Arabidopsis thaliana: one gene and its partner. The main gene of each other region encodes a partner of the protein of the gene in region 2 in a complex. Each region holds a gene or a part of one and is shown on either strand. Other genes may lie near its edges.

The links.
Region 1: LSM1B (region 2) and LSM6B share a complex: the UniProt entries of both Arabidopsis thaliana proteins name them as parts of the heptameric LSM1-LSM7 complex.

Annotation. Positions count from the first base shown.
Region 1 is NC_003071.7:18,146,123-18,153,016, reverse strand, and holds LSM6B (Small nuclear ribonucleoprotein family protein), read right to left. Parts: upstream 3,821-6,894; 5' UTR 3,642-3,820; exon of another isoform or gene 3,443-3,641; intron 3,318-3,442; 5' UTR 3,293-3,317; coding exon 3,178-3,292; intron 2,394-3,177; coding exon 2,280-2,393; intron 2,185-2,279; coding exon 2,138-2,184; 3' UTR 1,722-2,137; downstream 1-1,721. Other genes in the region: UGT74F2 (UDP-glucosyltransferase 74F2), read right to left, coding at 1-27, 115-738; AT2G43800 (Actin-binding FH2 (formin homology 2) family protein), read right to left, coding at 4,296-5,114, 5,196-5,449, 5,601-5,788, 5,873-6,894. UniProt on the Arabidopsis thaliana protein: Component of LSM protein complexes, which are involved in RNA processing. Component of the cytoplasmic LSM1-LSM7 complex which is involved in mRNA degradation by promoting decapping and leading to accurate 5'-3' mRNA decay.
Region 2 is NC_003074.8:4,664,743-4,671,576, reverse strand, and holds LSM1B (Small nuclear ribonucleoprotein family protein), read right to left. Parts: upstream 4,270-6,834; 5' UTR 4,086-4,269; exon of another isoform or gene 3,976-4,085; 5' UTR 3,861-3,975; coding exon 3,800-3,860; intron 3,248-3,799; exon of another isoform or gene 3,228-3,247; coding exon of another isoform or gene 3,197-3,227; coding exon 3,128-3,196; intron 3,037-3,127; coding exon 2,921-3,036; intron 2,836-2,920; coding exon 2,773-2,835; intron 2,666-2,772; coding exon 2,588-2,665; 3' UTR 2,383-2,587; downstream 1-2,382. Other genes in the region: EXO70D3 (exocyst subunit exo70 family protein D3), read left to right, coding at 198-2,069; AT3G14075 (Mono-/di-acylglycerol lipase, N-terminal;Lipase, class 3), read left to right, coding at 5,239-5,535, 5,641-5,838, 5,922-6,194, 6,313-6,415, 6,505-6,623, 6,732-6,834. UniProt on the Arabidopsis thaliana protein: Component of the cytoplasmic LSM1-LSM7 complex which is involved in mRNA degradation by promoting decapping and leading to accurate 5'-3' mRNA decay.

The sequences.
Region 1 (6,894 bases), on a different chromosome or scaffold from region 2:
ACAAGCTTTCGACCACAATTCATTCTCCTGTAAACAAAAAAAGAGCAGTTAGTACATGCACAAGAACAAGAGATGGTTTAAGAATTGTAAGAAAGAGATAGAGAGAGATCTAACATGCAGTTCCAACTCTTGGAAGCTATTAACGAGAACGAAATCAGCTTTTTCGAAATTTATGAACTGTTGAAGCACCATCTCAAAGTAAGCAGGATAAGAGCCAGAAACAGAGAAGAAAGAAGGCAAATCTTGGAGCTCAAGAAAAGGCAATTCCTCAATGGGAAGTTGCAAGCTTCCATTGTTTATGTAAGAAAGATAATAAACATAGTTAACAGCACAAGGCTGCGTAAAGAAAGGAGTCGCAACTAAACCAAACTCTCTAGCAACGTCAAGTGCCCAAGGCAGGAAAGCATCATAGACGATACAAGTGATGGGGTTATCACTAGTCTGGTGTTTTTGGATGATGTCTGCAATGGTTTTCGAGCCGGAAGTTTTAAAGTCTTTGAGGTAGTCGTCGATGGAGTCAGCTGTCTCGAAACCCCCATGGTCATAGCCATCGGAGATGGTGGCTATGGAGATTGGACCGGATAGGTCAGGATTGATGGAGTTGAAGACGAAAGTGGTGAGAGCGAGAGTGGTTTTGAGACCTTTGAAGTGAAGTCGTTTGCAGAATTGGCGGAATGGTGTGATGTGTCCTTGCGTTGGGTACGGCACTGCTAATACATGTCCTCTCTTATGCTCCATCTCTCTCACTTCTCCCCCTTTCTCTCTTAAAATCTTTTGCTTTAACCAAAATGAATATGTCTCAAGAGATGTTGATGAGAATATATGTAGATATAGGTTTTGTCGGTTTCTTGCTTAGATAAGAGTTTTGCGATAAGAAGAAATGATAGTTTTTTTGTTTTACTCTTCTTCTTTTTATTATAAAAAAAAAATGGGAATAAGAAAACAAAACCAATTTGCATGTCTTTGACAAGGAAAGAAAATGTGTTAATAAATACAAGTTGAACTTCTTCTTTGTATTAATTTTGGCTTCATTATTTTGTCTACCATGTGCTTTTCTGTTCTGTATACTTTTTTTAAAAACACAACCATGATATGTACTATTTTGAAATAAGTTGTTAAGTAAACATACAAACGATGAATATAAACGGATGGAGAAACCATGTCTGTGTTCAGCGTTGGTTTTTTTTTGTTTTTATTACATTTTTGGTAAAAAATTGATGAAAAGAATATCGATGTCAAGATGTAAATACAAACACACACAAAATCGAAGCTTTTATTGTTATTATTTGGAGAAGTAAAAGAGATGGAAAAAAAATAAGAGAGAGCCGAAATGGAGAATGTACTAATTACTAAAGACGTGAAAAGGTTCTGTACGGCTCTATAATAGTCGACAATAAGAAAAAGGACCTTGTCTATTTGATGTATTCTTCAAGTATATCTGACATTTCCTTATTTCCTATCTATGATGTATGATTATATATTGTAACTTTCACTAAATCCAGTTTCATATTTTCTTATCACACAATCTCAGATGTCAACAATAGTTGTAACATCTCTAGTGGATCAATATTGAACCAAAGCAACCTTTATAACGACAAGTGTCTAGCCTGGACATGTGCACTGGAATCGAGCAACATTAAAAACAAATGTTTACTACTATAAACAATCGGTTTCTTAAGTCAAACAAAAAAAAAACGAAAGAAGAATCAAATACGATAGAATAGAACAAAATAAGCTATATTATTGTTATTCGATCAAATCATAAATACATTAATGATTGAAATAAGGAGTTTTTAAACCTTTGCTGTCGAAGAATAATTAAGAATATTACGAGAAAAGAAAAAAAAAATACATTAATGATTGTTAAGATGACATCAGATTGTGACGCAGTGATTGCGTCATCAAAACACGATAATTAGGCTCCAAAGACCAACAGTGATTAAAAAAAATTTCATAACAAATAAAAATCTAGCTATATCTCAGAATTTTGGAGATGATTTAGACACAAACTGAGTTGCGGAAGAAAAAGACATGTCGAATTCATGCAGTGGTGATAAACTCTGGTTGCTACAAATCCTACATTTGTCATATGCCAGAGGTAGAGAAGAAGATGAACATTCATGGTGATGAAAGAGAGCTATGCTCCATCTGACAATGTCCCCTTTGTTGTGCTGATGTAAAGAACTGTGGCCAACATAGAGCATATTTTTCAGAATTGGATATAAAAAAACATACTAAACCGATTTAAAGAGTGATGATGAATGTGATTTGGTTTTTACCATTGTTGCCACGGACAAAAGCGTCGCCATATGTGTTCTTCAGCTGGCCATTTACATACTCTTCGGTTTGCTCCATTGCGATGTTCATATATCCATCAAGACAAGTAAGAATGCCTGCAAACAAGAAGAGAGACAAAGTGTCATATGTAGATTGATACAACATGATATGCCAAAGAAAGAATAAGTCTGACTTTTGTAGATAAACCAAAGAAAGATATTCAAGCTAGAAGTTCTCCTAGTCCTGTAAGTTATATTATAGAGTTCAAGAGACCAAGGTCTTAATTTCAGGTGATAAAGGCTCCATAGCAAGGTGAGAGTCCATATTCTATCAGAAGCAAGAGTAAATGCATCTCAAATTCAACCACATTTGGGTCTGTTATCTCATGAGAGAAGCTCTCTCAATTCACAAAGCTATCATCTGAATCTAATATTCCTCTCAAATTCCAAAAAGCATATGTTTCAAAGCCGTATGTTAATTTCCTGCTCATCTAGATTATATTTCTCAAAATCCAAAGCAAATATCTCAAGCCGAAATGTATTATTCCTTCTCAAACACAGAGACAAGATAGGGAAAAAACAAGCAAGCTCAACAAAAATGAATCTTCAGAGATGGGACTTTCAAATCAAATGAGAATCAAGCAAGCAGTTCTTAGACAAAGAAAAGAGTCATTCTGTAAACCAACATCCAAAGGTTCCAGTAACATGGCGAGAAAGAAAGGCATTGAGACATCTAAACCCAAAGTGATAAAGAAGTTTACATAGACTTCCGATAGCTTAATAACCACCGAAAATCAGAAGCAAACTATAAGATATCATCACACAAGGCAAAAAAAAAAAGAATTTGAACTGGATACATCTTAGAGGAGAACACAAAATGCAGAAAGAGAGAGAGACAGACCTCGATAATCAACACCAGAGTTGAGCTTGACAACAACTGGTTTACCACGGATAGATTTCAAGAAATCAGCAGGTGTCTTAGTTGTTCCAGAAGCTTTCTCTCCAACTCCACTCATCTTCTTTGCTAAGAAACCACAATATCTGCCCACCAAATTAGATCCAAATCAAACAAGACCCCTCAGAATATCCCACAAAGCCAACAACTTTAAGCAACAAATTCATGTCAGCAATTCGAGATCCATAAATCAATCAAATTACATAAAGACCTTGAGAAAAGGAATCATCTTGAATACCAAACTCGTAGCATCTCAACGATTACTCCCGAATCAAACAAAACTATGTGCCCTAAAACCCTAAACCTCAGACCAATTAGGAAATGCGCGAATGACTTGGATTAAGTAAAAAGAGAAACTTTGAAATGGATTGCAGAAACAGATGAGTCTGGGAAATCTAAGAACAACGAACCTCGAGTCCACGAACAAACGGTAATTGGCTAGAGACTTCCGCTCGATGAAGCAGCCGAACAGAGCGAAGAAGACATGTGACGCATTTACAAATAAGTAAAAATAAAATTACAATTAAAAAGGCCCAAGCCCAAATTCGAATCAGCCCACATGGAAAACAATCCGAAGTCCAAGTTTTTTTATTGTGGTTTAATTATGTGCGAGATTAAAACTTTTTAGTCAATTTTAAAATTTTAATCGTGAAAATGGTGAATTTTCAAAATTCGTTGGGAGAAGAACTTTGCAAAGATGTTTGACATCAGCAATTTGGAAATGCCTAATGTGAACCAAACAAAAGAATAATTTCAGTTTCTTTTTTTACATTTTGTAAATAGTATAGCTTGCAATAATTTAACTTTTCACAAGACTTTAGTTCTTCTATCGTTTTAGGTTTAGATCAATAAATACATCTACACGTGACATAAATAATTCAACAGAGGACTGGAACACGTACAGAGCCCGATGATAGCAACTTGCAACAATCTGCCAAAATCTATTTAAATTCGCCTATCAATAAAAATATAAATATGTATAACACATATATTACTTGAGTACGTAGCAAATGAAACCAAAACATTAGCATACACCGAACCAAACCCGAGCCAACAGTTTTCACTTAGAACGAGCCATCGTCGTCGTCTAGAGAACCCGATGGACTTAGCCGTGAGTTGTTATTGATAACCACCGGAAACAGAGGCGTGGCGGTCTGGTTCGATGGCGAATGTAGTGGCATGGATCCATACACCGTTCTCTCGTTTACGCGTCCAACTTCTTTACACACTTGATCAAGAATCGTCAGAAAGTCTCTGACCACAGCGAAAATGCGAAAAGGATGAGTTTCCGAGTTCCCGTGGAAATACTCTGTTACTTCTTTAACCATCTTCATGACATTGTCTCCATGAGATTGTAACTCTGTGATCTCTTTCTCACCTTTGTTCAAGAACGAGTTCATTGACTCCAAGAATCTCTCTACACCTGTTTCTTGCTTTAGCTCCGTGATTACTTCCTTGACTTTCGCTATTCCTCTGGCGATTTCCGCTGTTTCGTTGATGAGGGAATTTGAATCCATTGCCGCTGCTTTCTTGACGTTAATCAGCTGAGAGCTGAGACCTGAAACGACTTGCAACCCGAGTTTCTTGAGCTCTAGGTCATCTTGGAATGCGGATTGCTCGGCCATGTTATCGCCTATATGGCTTTGACTCGGAGTAAAAGGAACCCGAGCTCCTTCAAATTTTATGATCTCTTGAACCACAAAATGCAATAAGGTGGTTTTCCCATCCGCGCCTTTGATATCTACCAGTTTTAAGAGCGTGTCGAGCTTGAAAGCATGTGCGTCCCCTCTATTGGTTCCTATATTCATCCGGTTCCCAGTCTTGAGCACGGCTTCTAAAAGCTTCAAGAACATCCGCGTGTTCTTTAACTCACCAGTAGCAGCCTGAGAGTTTGATCAAATGCATATGAATGATCTGTTTGATCAGCAGACATACACTTATGAGGTGGACAAGTAGAGTTTTACCTCGAGAGTGTCGAAGGATCTGTTAAGGTACTCGATTTCTGATTCGAACTTGACAATGTAAAGCATTGCATCAATCCTCTTGAAGGCGAAAGGAATGTTCAACAATGCTTTGAGGAATTTCTCTGCAGGTCCTATCTTGGAAGGAGATCCATCATCATCATCTTTAAGCTCCTTAAGCTTGTCCTCTTCTTCTTTAGTAGGAGCCATCTTAAGCAAGCATTCGAGAAGCTCGGGTCCAAGCGTATCCGAGTTACCTGATTCATGAACAAGAAAGTGATTAGACATCAACTAAGTCAAACAAGTCAAGCTTCAATAATCACAGACCAATTTGAGGAATCATCAAACCAATGCAATGTTGCAGTAAGTGCGAGTAACCTAAGCAACAACAGATTGGAAATTACTCACCTTCTATAAGAGCTTCACATACTTCATCAGCAGTTACATTAAGAGCTCTCAACAAAATAGCAATGTTGTGTGACTTTCTTGGATCAAGAAACCGATTCTCCTGACTCACGGATTGAACAACGCCATCTCTTGTTCTCGAAGTTGGATCATTCACCTTGAACAATGTCTCTATCATTTCTTCATTCACTCTGCAAAAACACAAAAGAATCATATCTTAGTCGTGTATGCAAAAGGATAGATCAAGTCTTTAATTCAGATTCGTTATGTCTTACTGAAAGGAGTTTGATTTGATTTGGTCCCACACCATAACACGGCTCGAGCTTGCTCTAACTTTATCCCAATGTAAAGTCTTCAACTTTGGTTTCATGGTCTCCACTTTCTTCTCTGGGTCAGAATCATCACCAGGAAGGGAATGCGACATAGTAGCCGGAACCTCCGAGACCTGTGGCGGCGGAGGAGGTGGTGGAGGTGGCCTCGCTGGACAAAGCCGCTTCGGAATGCCGTTGTTTGAGCTTATCTGACTGTGCAGCGAGACAGGAGGACTAATTGACTTAGGTTTCAAACTTGTTCCCGGAGAAGCATTCAACGACGGCGCAAAATTAGTCGGCGAACACGAGTTCGAGCCTGAGCCGTTGATACTCCTGTTGTCAATCTGATCAACATCAGAGACACGGGTCGGGCTCTGTTTACGCCCTGAAGATCCTCTCGGAGAGAAAAACTCATCGTTTTCGTTATCGTCTCCGTCAAAGTCTTGTCTTTTAGGGTTTAACTGTTCAGTGCTTTTGTAAACGGGAGTGAAAGATTGGAGCTTTGGTAAAGGGGGAAGAGGACGAAGCTCTGGCGAGCCTAGCTTATGGTACTGTGAGTAAGAAGAAGAAGAAGACGACGAAGCTGGAGGAGGTAATTCCAATACGCCGGTGATACCGCCAGAGAGGGAGATTGGAGACTTTTGCTGCTCTAAACCATTGCTTCGAGAGTTTACTAAAGTACCTAAGTAGAGAAACTCAGAGGAAGTGTGTGAGGAAGTGTACTTTGGTGGTTGTTGATGTTGTTTCTGTTTCTTAGAGCCGTCGGAAGGAGAGGCGTTGAAGAGCTGAAGAGCGTCTGATCTCGTGGATTTGGTGTCGTCTGCAGGGGAGGAGCGGCGGCGGTGGCGAGTTCGGCGGATGAAGATGATGAAGACGGCGAATAGAGAGAGGAGAGCAGCGGCGGAGATGACGGAGGCGGTTATGGTGACGAGCCTAGCGATGTGGCCGTTGCTGGGAGGCTTGGATTGTTTGTTGTGAGTCGGAAA
Region 2 (6,834 bases):
GCTAAGACTTCTTCCGATAAGCAAAAAAAAAAAAACCGAAGTGGTTTCTTACCAAAAAATCAACCAATCTCCTTCACGAATTTCCATCTGAGAAGAATTTGAATCGGTGGAGGTGAGAATCATTCATTGGCTTTCGAATTTTGAAGTTTTCTTTATACTGTTTTTGATTTTTTGTTGTTGTCTGATTGATTTATTAGATGGAACCGCCGGAGAATAGTTTAGATTCCGATGGTTCGAACTTAGAGACAGCGGAGAGGATAATACTCCGGTGGGACTCAGCAGCGACTGATGGAGCAAGAGGGAAGATGATTTTCCAAAGCGATCGTGATGAGGTGGATCGGTTTCTTCGAGCCGTTGATGAAATCCAACGGTCCTTATCTTCTGTCTCTTTCTCTTCTTCTTCCTCCTCCGCCGCCACCTCCGCCGCCACCGTAGTCGATGAACACGAGGTCAAAGCCAACTCAGCTATTCAAATCGCTATGGCTAGACTCGAAGACGAGTTCCGTAACATTCTTCTCTCCCACACAACTACTTTCGAGCCTGATTCACTTTTCCTCGAGGAACCATCAGTCTCTCCGTCTTTAACCGTCGAAGTTGGAGAAGATACCACCGTAACTCCCGAAGAAGAAGAATTAAATTCTCCAGGTGGTTCCGGTTCAAGCCGGTTAACTCGTAGAAGAAGCAGTTACAGATCCACTAGCAGTATACGAGAAATGGATCTGATTTCGCCGGAAGCAGTTTCTGATCTAAGATCGATTGTTCAACGAATGGTCGCCGCCGGTTACTCTCGTGAATGTATCCAAGTCTATGGAACTGTTCGCAAATCAGCCATGGAAGCAATATTTAAGCAGCTTGGGATTGTGAAGATAAGCATTGGTGATGTTCAAAGGCTTGAGTGGGAAGTTGTTGAAGGAAAGATCAGGAAATGGATTCGTGCTGCTAAAGTTTGCATTAGAGTTGTTTTCTCTAGTGAGAAGAGACTATGTGAGCAGCTCTTTGATGGTATTTGCACTGCCATGGATGAGACTTGTTTCATGGAGACAGTGAAGGCTTCTGCTCTGAGACTTTTCACTTTCCCTGAAGCTATAAGTATCAGTAGAAGATCACCTGAGAAGCTGTTCAAGATTCTTGATTTACATGATGCTTTAACGGATATGTTGCCGGATATTGAAGCAATCTTTGACTCAGATTCATCAGATGCTATTAGAGCTCAGGCTGTTGAGATTCAATCGAGGTTAGCGGAAGCAGCGAGAGGTATACTTTCGGAGTTTGAGAATGCGGTTCTTCGCGAACCTTCGATAGTTCCTGTCCCTGGAGGAACGATTCATCCATTGACAAGGTATGTGATGAACTACATTGTTATGATCTCTGATTATAAGCAAACGTTGGATGATCTCATCATGTCGAATCCCTCTACTGGTTCTGATCCAAACACACCGGATATGGATTTCACGGAGTTGGATAGTAAATCTCCGTTGGATTTGCATTTGATATGGTTGATTGTGGTCTTGCATTTCAACTTAGAAGAGAAATCCAAGCACTATAGAGACACATCTCTAGCTCACATATTCATCATGAACAACATCCATTACATTGTTCAGAAAGTGAAAAGGTCACCAGAACTACGAGAGATGATTGGAGACCATTATTTAAGGAAACTCACTGGGATATTTAGACATGCTGCCACAAACTACCAGAGAGCTACATGGGTCAGAGTACTGAATAGTTTGAGAGATGAAGGATTACATGTGAGTGGGAGTTTCTCCTCAGGTGTATCAAGAAGTGCATTAAGAGAGAGGTTTAAGGCATTCAATACAATGTTCGAAGAGGTTCACAGGACTCAGTCCACATGGTCGGTTCCAGATGCTCAGCTTAGAGAAGAACTCCGAATATCGCTATCCGAGCATCTAATCCCTGCTTATAGATCGTTTCTTGGAAGGTTCAGGGGTCATATAGAGAGTGGAAGACACCCTGAGAACTATTTGAAATATTCGGTTGAAGATATCGAGACCATCGTTCTAGATTTCTTCGAAGGATATACCACACCACCACACTTGAGGAGGCGATAAAAGAAGATCGAAAACCCGAGAGTTCTATCTTCTTTCTTTCGTTTTTCAGTCACATTAGGATGTCATAGAAATAGAACCATTCTTTGAATTTTTATTCACGGGTTTCCTGCCCGGTGGAATAATCTCCAGGTGAACATATTTGTGTGTTGTTGTTTGTGCCATATGTCTTCTATTTATAAAAGTCCTGATTGATCACAGAACCAATAAGTACCATGTAAATTTTGCAATGTGCGACGTCCTCTACTCATTTGCTCCATTTTTGTTCCGTTTGGTAGTAGCCATAGGCAAGCTCCTTGTTTAAAAGTTCCAAAATAGAGAAAGAAATTGCTTAACATTTTTTTCTTAAAAAGGTAAATAGATCCAAAGACAAAAGTACACAGATTTATTGTCATATTCATCCAAAATGAAACACAAGAATTGCGTCGATCCCCTAAGTCAACACACCAAAAAGGCTCATCATAAAACTTGCGAGCCAAAGCAGAGCATCAAGCCAATAATGAATGGGGATACAATCTGGTTTAATCAAAGTCAAGAAACTCCATTCTCTTCCTCATTGTTCCTCTCAGCTCACTCGCTTCCCTCTCCACCTTTTGTGCCTGCATCAACAGACAGATTCCCGAAAACCAAATCATCAGCACGCACACAGCATCACAAATGAATCAAATTTGGCTAATCAAAATGAACATGTTATGCGATGTCTTACCCTTTTAATCTCTGCCTCTGAGACGCGAATCATATGTGGAGGAAGCTCTTCTCTCTCCGTGTCCTAATACATAGTTTAAGGTCAAACTCAGTGAATTGGAAAACACGAGGTGACACAGCAAGAAAAGACAAACAAGGAGAAGTCTTACCAGCTCACCAATCAAAACAACATTCTCTCCACGGATTACATAGAGGCCTAAAGGAATGTCACAGTATTGTTCACCAACAATTACCCTCTCACACGCACCTTCTAGAACCGCATTGGCTGTGTATTTACAACGAACAAAAAAAAGTCAAATCTCTCCCGCTCATCAACAATATCGTAAATCTAGAAACATGGAAAGAAAAGTGAATACCGAATTGATCAAAGGAACGGAGTGTTCCCATTAGCTTTCTACCATCTCTAAGAAGCACAAGTAGTTTTCCTGCATCATCAAGAGCAGAGCCAACATACATAAGTAACTGATGCACATTGATTCATATCTAAAAAAGAAAACGGTACGCCAAATGAGATTGAGAACTAACTCATAGCCCAAAAACATCAGCAAAAGAAGATCATTGACTTTTAAACTCAAAGAACCAACATCAAAAAGCCGATAGTGAATTAAATTTCAACAAAGGTTAAAGTTTATACTTCGTAAGTTGAATAAAGAGTGAGCCAGCAACCTCAATCACATCTAATCTCTCACGCATGCTAAAATTTAGCTTGACAACAATAACTGATGAACAGTTAGATTTGACCCAATTAAAAAAAAACTAAAGCTTTGATTCAATAATCAATATCTTAATCAATGAATGTCTCTTTGAGACAATTCAACACCAAAATTGACAAGCTTTGGATACAGCCACAAAATAGTACAGCCTATATATCAATAAGAAGTCAAAATCAAACGTCAAAAAAACAGAGAATTGTTTGCAAAATTGAGCTCCCAAATGCGTACAGAGCCATCACGGCCAATTATTTTAACTACATGCATTCATACGGTTCAACAAATATGTGAAACAGAGAGAAAGAGAGACGGATTTACTATCGAGATAACTAGCGAGTGATGTTGAAAGATAAATTTCTTCAGGACCAGCCCACGACATCGCCACTGACTTTGAAATTGAAGAAAACTTTCGGTCTTTCTATAGAACACTACCGATGATAATAATGTTCGTCAGATTCCAGCTGAAGAGATAAGATTTGGCTATTGAACGCGAACTTTGACAGGAAAAAAAAAAAGTGAAGACGGAAAGAGAAATCTAAATTAGGGTTTTGACCAAAGGGTTTAAATTGATAAAGTGATTAAAAAAGATTGAGACTTTCGACACCTGATCGAAGACGGACACGGGTTCTTCAAAAAAATATAAAACCCAGATCCGATCGAACTTTGGCTGAGAAAATTTGTTTGTGGAAAATTCGAAGAGAAAACTAGCGAGCAAATCCGTCCACTGTCCCTTTTTTATTATTTTCAAGCAATGTCCACGATTTCTTAACTCGATAGATAAGACGTTGTACTTTAATACTTTAAGCACTTTCCAATTTAATGTTAAATTTCCTAATAATTATTGTGACTGAATGTTTCTTAAATAAATGAGACTAATCTTCCAAGCTAATAAAATATCTGTTTCGAATAAATTTTAATTTATGGACCAAAAAAGTCGATTTAACACTATTATTATTTACTGCTTGATTTATGTTAAAACGCTTTTATGGGTAAGTCATCCAATAATATATTCCCACGTAAGCATCAGATCTCGGCGGCGCGAAACTACGCGGCGTTCGCTTAGCACAAAAACGTAGCGCAGTTTATTTAAAGCAAAACAAAAAATTCTGTTTTCACACTTTTGCATTGCAGCATCTTGTAGCTAACAACATCATCGGAGAGAAAGCAGCTTCCCCTTCCCGGAGATATCGTACATAAGCTAAAGCAACCTTAACCTTCCTTCTCCACTGTAAAACCCTCAAATTAAGGTCACGATTTCGTCTTATTTTTCCAGGTTTGATTCACAAAGAACTTCGTGTTTTAACGATGCTATTCTTGGGGTAGGATTTAGGGTTTTGTTTCTATAGTTCACCGATCCTGTTCAATTTTAAGCTAAATCACATTCAATTTTATGATTTGCATCGGTTAAAAGACGCGATAGTTATCAGGAGTAGGGTTTGTTGTGGTATTCGAGAAGTTTCAGGAAAGTGAGAGTTTTCTATTAATGGCTTCTTTTTTTTGTATCCCGAATTCTTTGGGGTTAATTGGTGAAAAGAATGTTCTTTGTACGAAATTATATCCAATTTTCCAGCTTTACATGTTTTTGGAGATTTCTGGAATAAGTCTGAGATACTTAAGAACGCATCTGGAGATTGAAATTGTGGCATCCAATGTAGTTTCAATCGATTTTGTCTTTAAATTTTGTATTCTTATTAGATTGAGTTTCGTCTTGGATTGAGCGAATTTGTTTCATTGATGATTTTAGGGATAGATTGATCATGGCAACTGCAACTATGGCAACAGCAGCTGGAGCAGCTGCTCTTTTATATTACACGTTGAATCGGAAATTAATAGCTGGTCCATCTGACGTTGACGATGAGAATTCTGAAGCTTCTGCTTCTCGTCCTTCTTTGAGGATTGACCGTGTTTCGCATAGGCTTATTCAAGCTCCGGCAACTTGGTTGGAGACTATTTCTACTCTTTCTGAGACTCTTCGTTTTACTTACTCTGAGACTCTTGGGAAGTGGCCTATTGGTGATCTTGCGTTTGGGATCAATTTTCTCATCAAGAGGCAGGTATAACATCTCTTCATCGTTTTAACGGTCTTAAGTTCTGGATTTTTTTCTAATTATCTTGTGGTCAAAATTGAACTTTTTGTAATTGTGTACCTAAAACCGTAGGGACTTCTACATGTTGATCGTGTCTTTGGTGGTAAAGATAGTGTAGAACTTAGAGGATCAGAAGTAGCCACTGAACTCAAATATCTTTTGCACTTGTTGACATTGTGTTGGCATTTTTCCAAGAAGTCGTTTCCGTTTTTCTTAGAAGAGACCGGCTTTACAAAGGAAAATGTCCTTATTCATGAACCCAAAGCTGGGGTAAACTTTAACAACTCTCAACTCTTAGGCACTTTTTCAACATAGAAATTGAGAAGTTTAGTTTTGAATTTTGCACCATGTAGATATTGAAGCCAGCTTTTACGGTTCTTGTCGATCACAATACAAAATATTTTCTGTTATTGATTCGTGGAACGCATAGCATCAAAGATACCTTGACTGCTGCAACTGGAGCAATCGTACCGTTCCATCATACTGTTGTAAATGAAAGAGGGGTCAGCAATTTGGTCTTAGGTTATGCTCATTGTGGTATGGTTGCTGCTGCCCGGTGTATAGCTAAACTTGCCACCCCTTGTCTTCTCAAGGGTCTTGAGCAATATCCAGATTACAAAATCAAGGTACTTTTGTAGCCCGTTCTCTAATCTTTATTTCAACTTTTCCTAAAACCCATTGTGTGAGAAACCAAAGATTGTCTCTAGCCCTATACATTGTAATTCTCCTGCATTTTGTTGGCAGATCGTAGGGCACTCTTTGGGTGGTGGAACGGCTGCACTTTTAACATATATTATGCGGGAGCAGAAAATGCTCTCTACAGCTACATGTGTTACATTTGCGCCAGGTTTTTCATACAATCTAGTTTTCAATTATATATGTTTATATCTTCTTAAGATACAAGACTTAGTGCTTGTTCCTACCTATTTTCTTCAGCTGCTTGTATGACTTGGGAATTAGCCGACTCTGGGAATGACTTCATCGTATCTGTCATAAACGGAGCTGATCTGGTGCCTACATTTTCTGCTGCAGCTGTAGATGACTTACGTGCTGAGGTTAGCTTCCTAGACCCAAATTCTATGCTTCATTTATATACTTGGGAAAACGTCTGTTGTGTTTTCTTGAGATAAACTATTTATTCTTCCCTTCCACCTTTTCATCAGGTAACAGCATCTGCTTGGCTAAATGATCTGAGAAATCAAATCGAACACACCCGAATCCTCAGCACTGTTTATCGCTCAGCGACGGCTTTAGGATCACGACTTC